2 linked regions of the Schizosaccharomyces pombe genome follow. The protein of the gene in region 1 purifies or fractionates together with the protein of each later gene. This does not show direct contact. Each region holds a gene or a part of one and is shown on either strand. Other genes may lie near its edges.

Region 1 (3,467 bases):
CTGAAATAATGGAAAGTGTTAGCGCTAATTCTTCACGTAGGAATTCACACGATTCTAATTCAACAATTATATGTGAACCCGAATATCCTCCAGATACGTCTTTTAATAGTAGCCCTGGCCGCTTGTGGATTGTTACGGCGATTGGAAGATATCGTGACGAGTACTGGACGGTGCGTGCTGAGGCTGCAGAAGGATATGACTGTGAAAAAATACACGAAATTGATGTCGCCGATATCCCTTCTCTTTATGGCACTATATTATACGTGTCCATGTCAACTGGTATTGTAAAATCGGAGATTGGAGATATTGGAGCTCAGCAGTGGAAGACATTAGCACCTTCCGAGCGATGGATTCTTCGTACAAATATCAGAAAAGAATGTACATATGACATTCGATACAAACGACCTTATGTATCGTCGTTGAAATATTCCGATGATGATTTGACTGCTGGTCGTGCTTCTCCTATGACTGGTCCAACAAAACGCAAGTAAAGTTGAGTATTTTCCATCCCTTTTCAAAAATATCCTTTATTAAGTTATGCTACTTTTCTTTTCTTTTCTCTTTTTTTTATTTAAGTCTCCCACTTTCAATATATTATAATTAGATTACCAATCTTAGGCATATACATCTGATCGTTTGGTTCGTAACATTTGCAATTTTAGATTGTCTGTTTTCAACATTAGTTAATTTATATTTAATGGTTTATGATTCATTAAAAGCTAATTCTCAATACATTTTTGCTCAAATTAGTAATATGGTTTACAAAATCTTATTTATGTTTGTTTAATAGTCTTTGCAAATGAAGTATTGTGTTTCAATTAATCTTAATTTAGTAGTAATGCTGTTTTATGTGTTAATTAAATGAAATTTAGTTATAGTTTTAAAAAAGTCAAAAGGGTATCTGTCATATACGTTTAAAGAGTATCATAAGTGCGATTTTACTTAATAGTAGTCATTTCAATGTCGTCCAACATTCTTTTCGTAATAATTACAAGCTAAATGAGAGAGATGTTTCTTCAAATAACTTTTGCTTGTTTCGTTCAATAGTCCAAAGTCCCAAATGTATTAGCGAAAATAGCAAAAAGAATCCACTGGAAATCCACCCAAAAACTGCTGCAGCTACCCCAAATTTTGCTGTAGCTTTCCCAGTTAAATTCATTCCTACAGCATATGAATTAGCCGAAATATGAGCTAAAGCCATTTGGAGTGCTAAAAGCAAACAGGCGGCTGTACTAGTAGTTAAACAACTTATTGACCATTGGCGTATGTATGCAGGAGCCAAGTACTTTAAAATAGTCAAAACAATGGATAGTGTTGAAAATACAACAACAATCGCGAGGAGAACAGGATGAACTTGAAGCCACGCAAATCTCGAAGTTTCATATGCTAAACCACCAGTTGTTTGATCCCAATTTCGAAGCTCATGGCAAACTCGAGACGTTGAATTAATAGCTTGATCACACACTCCAAAGAAACCGACGTCTACGGTGGTTGTTTCATTCTTTACTCTTAGTAATCTCGCAAAAATAGATGATTTCGTTAAGCAGCTGCAACATAAAAATATTAAAAAAAGCCATGCAATTCCTAAAATAGCATTCGAAAAAATACTAGGATGAGGAATATAGTTGTATATTCTTGCAACAAGTCCAATCCAGCTGAATTTACTAGTTCCTCTTTCCATTCTTAAACCGTAATTTTAAATTGTTTACTTTAGCAAAATTAGTTTAGGGATAGAAGAACTATTATGGAATGTAAGTCTATTATAATACTTTGAAACAAAGAAATTTTTGACACGTAACTGTTATGTTTCTTTGTCTTCGAGGACAAAGAAATTATGAGTACTACACATACTTAATACCGATAAATGCTGTGCCGCCTTTCAATCAAATCAATTATTTATTATTTTTAAACCATCGTCATGATAAATGAAAAGATAGGTCCCTTGAAGTGTATAAGAGTAAACTGAATGAATAGGCGAGTAGTAGACATTATTGAGCAAATAATCATCGTAAAGAACCCAGTCTAAAAACTTCGCAACCAATTCCGTAAATTATCAAAAAATCATTATTTCGGATCATGCCACCCACATCAGCTACGTGAGTATATCTTTCCAGGATCGGTTTCAATGAATCACCCTCGACTTTCCATAGTAATATCCTTTGGTCAATGGATACACTCAGCAAAAGCTCTTTGGTAATTGATAAAACACCTGTAACACTGGAAGCATGAGCTTCAGCAAAAAAGTAGTTATGTAAAGAATTGACTACTACTGAATTTTCACTTATTTGTTCTAACAAAAGTATAGATCGAGAAATTGCACCATCATCACCACCCGTAGAAATCGTTAACACATCTTGATCCCTGCTAATATTTAATGACTTAACACAAAATTGATGCACTGTTTTTATCCAAATTATTAATGGCTCAATTTGAGGATCCCTCCAAAATGTGTTCCAAATAGCAACATTACCATCAGTCGAAGCAACCACCAACAATAAATGAGACCCGAAAATAACAGCCTCGGCAAAAACCAAACAAACTGTCTTATATTTCCAACTTTTTATACAATTTAGCTGCTTCGTATCTACGTTATAAGTGAATGCTTTGATAGTCGAATCGGACTGTACAGTATTAATCCATAACACTCTTTCACCCAGATGGGTTGCCTTTACAACAGAAATGTCAGTTATTCGAAGATCCCCATCGTAAGTCTTGTTACTTTTATTTGGTTTGCAGAGTTTTTCATGAACGATCCGTTTCAGATATGCCTCTGGCTTTTGTATTAGCCTATAAACATTTAACTCTTCAAGACCACCAGTGGAAAATAAAATATCATCGCTAAACCAGGTCAGCGATTGGATTCCTGAATTATGAAACTTGACAGAATTCAGAGGAATTATGTTTCCATTACTCTGAAACTCAAGCAGGGTTACTTTAGTATCTTCAGATCCTGATAATAAAAGATCCCCTGAAGGATTGAAATCCATTGCTCGAATCTCACGCCCATGCAAACCATTTTGTAATACAGAATTTCTTTGCAAAAGATTTAAAGCAGTGCTATAAATATAAAGTTGATTTGCTCTATAAGATGCAAAACTTTGAATGTCCATCTCCATTGAAAAAGCCCATGGACGATGACTACCTCCACAATCAATAAAGAAAACATTAGTTTCATTTGTCTCATCCCTTAAAAAAAAATTTGATGCATGAAAACCCCAAACCCATTGATTTTCCTTTCCATTTTTTAATTTTTTACACAAACCCTAGCATATGTTAGCTGAACCATGAACCGTATATTCTTAAAGATAATACTCACCCCGCTTAGTATACCATCACAACATTTTTTCGAACACAGCTCCTGAGGAACAGCACTTTTTTCTACCCTCGGAATTGAAAATAAATTGACATAACCATCACGTCCGACTGTTTGAATTAAGAGGTAATCACGTTTTGACGACTTGATGTGA
Region 2 (3,542 bases), on another chromosome or scaffold:
GTGTAATTGCTTTACTGAATAATAATCAAGGCAGAAATCATTTAATATCTCTTTTAATTTCTTTCTATCAGCTACGATTGTAAGATACGAAAAAACTGTTACAGAAGTATACAGTTGATCAGATTTATGCAAAAAATCAATTGAAGAATGTATAATTTGTAAAGATGCGTATGTATATAGGTTCTAAATAAAAAGACTATGGAAAGAGAATGTATATGATTGTTTTAATCGATATTAGTCATTGATAATGAAATATTAAACAGCTTTATCTTGACTTGAATATATGAGCTTTTGACATGAAAGTTTCAAGTGCGGTAAGTAGAAATGAGTGCAAAAGAGAAATGAAGTAAAGTGCAGTGTGAAAACATATACATAAATAAACCAAGATGAGATTAATCGTAAAAAGAGGCGTTAAGAAAATCATAAAAAAAGCGGAACGTGAAAAAACGTAAAAACAAAAAACAAGTACAGATGAATACAGTTGCCATAATGTAATATAACAAGGTGAGAAAGGTCATATCTTCTCAAAACAATAATAGTTGAGGCGCATAATTTAATACTTTGTTGTTGAGGATTTGCTAGAAAAGGATGAACTAGGGGTAAGGACTTTGCTTTTTTCCAGTATCGTCTTACGAATCTTCTTGGTTCTTGAAGTAACCAAAAGAATAATAGAATCCGTGATACCTGTTAATGTCACAAGTCCCATAGAACACCATAAAAAGATCATAGCCTTTTTGCCTAGAGATGCAGTAACTCGATTTTGTGTTCCATTTCCAACAGCCATCACAAAAGAGGAGACAGCAACGTGAGCAAACAAAGCAGTTACTAGTATACTAAAAAAGGAGAAAAAAGAAAGGCTTATACGAATGTTTCTCAGGAATTCCAAACGCCCTATTAAGGGAAGGCTGGAAACAACACCCATAAGAAATGAAACACCGCATACGCAAAATGAAAAGACAATCATCCAAGGGTGAACTTCATTGATTAGAAATTTAGACCTTACATCCGTTAAGCTAATGGAAGTCAACCCAGGACAACCAGTAAATTGAGGTTTGCAGATCAGCGTCGCATTAGCAGAAAGTACACACATGTTAAAATACCCAACGTTAATTTGGGCTACGTTAGTTGCAAGAGAAAACAACTGGAATTTCGAGGTGGTACTAGATTGGCAACCTGTCATTACTAGTGCAAGTAAAATCCATGCAGCTAATGTGCAAAGAGTTCCAGTTCCTTGTACAACTGAATGAAGAAACAGCATGGTGATTAAATGTAGATGTTTGTTTGTCCTTGATACAAAAACTCTTTTCGTCAACTGGTTTTTTTGAATGAATAGGTTGAATGTTTTTTAAAAAAAGGTAAATTATTTGACGTTCGTGAAAGCCTTCAGTAAGCAAAAATATAGGCAAATCCTGAAGTAAAATTAAGGAGATTTAATCACAACAGAATTATCTCAAATGGCTTTTTGCGATGCTATGAAGGGAAGTAGCTTGAAAAGACGAACAAGGAAGATCCAAGCCAGGTTTTAAAGTAAACAAAAAAATTATTAATGACATAATATATTTCTAAGCTTTCTTTCAAAAATCTGCTTTTTTCATTGTCTTCGTGTTTTCTTTGTTCCCGAGAACAAAGAGTTCGTCAATGGTCATTCGACTCTATGAGGAATACGCAGCGGGCATATCTTTGAGAAAAAAAAGTTTCCATAGCAAAAGCCCCAAGGTATGATGTTTCTTGTCGCAAGGAACAAAAAAATATTTAGATCCCACTGGTAGCGTATGACTCAATTGCGATTTTAAAAAGGGCTCGGGCAGTATTTGTAACAACGATATAAACGATTGACGAGGATAGAGTTTTCTAAAAGAGAGAAACTTTTTCAATTGATTAATTTCTTCTAAATTCCATTGCACCCATATGCCACCATTCGAAATGTTAGGTCTCCTTAGACAATCTTGTAAAATTTTAATATCATTACAATGTAAATGATTCTGAGTTGAAGTTTCTTTTAATGAGGATATTTCTTTTAACAAAGAGTCCTGTAATGACTCAAGTATGTATCTTTTTATATCAGGACAATTCAAATTATTTAATTCCATGTTCCAGCGCTTGAAAATGCGCTTTGACGGCGGTTGCAAGTATCTATCCGATAATAAGCAGTATAAAGAAACATGTTTATTATGTAAATGGTTTTTTCCTTCTAATGGCAACAAACAAAATTTTCGAGGATTTGTATCCTTCCTTGCAGGAAACTTCGCTAATAGCTCTATATTGTCAGTAAGCCGAACATTAAAACTAACTAAAAAAGAAGATTACCTCTGGGAAATAAAAAGTGCGTTGCCAAGTCTTGTCTTAAAGGAGAGCTTAGGATGCTTATCAAAGGATCATTTTTCGAAATAATTTTTTTTATTGTCATTGTGAATACTTTGCAGATGTAGTAAATAGTATGGATCAGAAATAAACTCCCCACCCCAATCCTAACCAATTTGACTTCTAAATTAGGTTGTAGGATGACTTGTGATATACTTTTTCTTACTAAGCTGTGAAGCGTTGCATATAAAAAATAAGCATCATACTTTTTGGTCAGAATTAGTATGGTAAGCCGAGTTCAACTATTGAGACCTATTTACTATGAAAGACAATCTAATTAAAATTTCAGAAGCTTAAAATCATAAATATTATAAGTCTTATTTTTTATTAGGCATTTCACCTATTGACCGATTTGTACAGTACGACTGTTTCATGCTGCTTACCGACATATAAACTTTTCTATTTTTCATAAACATATCACATTTAACCTTCAAATACACTTATAATGAGGAGTATTTAGCGGTCACTTGATAGTACTGATAAAATTAACTTTACATCAGCTCCACCGAAACCTCACTTTACTATATACCAAATACTCTTCCTCAAGGACTCAAAAAATTTTGTATTTAGGACTCAAAAATGGTACAGGCAAAAATTGCTCCGTCTTTGTTAGCAGGTACGAATATTTTGAGTGTTTGATTCAAGTATTAACACACGTTAGGCGACTTTGCCAATCTTGAAAAAGAGGTTGGCCGTATGCTTAAATATGGTAGCGATTGGTTACACGTAGATGTTATGGACGCACAGTTTGTTCCTAACCTGACCATCGGACCCATTGTTGTGAAAGCTATGCGTAACCATTACACCAAGGAGGAGGCCTTTTTCGATTGTCATTTGATGGTTATTGAACCCGAAAGATATATTGATCAGTTGGCAGATGCTGGAGCCAGTCTATTTTGCTTTCATTATGAAGCCACAGAGAAGCATGAAGAAATTATCAGCCGTGCTCACGAGAAGGGTATGTTGGTAGGTTGTGCTTTGAAACCCAAAACACCAGTGGAGGTGATTTTGCCGTTCGTAGAAAAGCTCGACATGGTATTGGTTATGACTGTTGAACCAGGTAAGGGTGGACAGAGCTTCATGCCCGAATGCCTTCCTAAAGTTGAGTTTCTTCGCAAAAAGTATCCAACATTAAACGTGGAAGTCGATGGAGGTCTCTCTTTAAAAACTGTCGATGCAGC

What was found.
Region 2: the proteins of dni2 (region 1) and dni1 purify together in Schizosaccharomyces pombe (affinity purification with western blotting, with the first as the bait; one study listed by BioGRID). This does not show direct contact.

The regions. Positions count from the first base shown.
Region 1 is NC_003423.3:1,182,641-1,186,107, reverse strand, and holds dni2 (claudin-like protein Dni2), read right to left. Parts: upstream 1,682-3,467; coding exon 993-1,681; intron 842-992; coding exon 784-841; downstream 1-783. Other genes in the region: SPOM_SPBC4.02C (rRNA methyltransferase), read left to right, coding at 1-491; protein Trm734, read right to left, coding at 2,004-3,263, 3,317-3,467.
Region 2 is NC_003424.3:2,995,169-2,998,710, reverse strand, and holds dni1 (tetraspan protein, claudin Dni1), read right to left. Parts: upstream 1,259-3,542; coding exon 554-1,258; downstream 1-553. Other genes in the region: rrg8 (protein Rgg8), read right to left, coding at 1,653-2,257, 2,308-2,407; rpe1 (ribulose phosphate 3-epimerase), read left to right, coding at 2,941-2,977, 3,023-3,542. UniProt on the Schizosaccharomyces pombe protein: Cell membrane protein which plays a relevant role in coordinating membrane organization and cell wall remodeling during mating.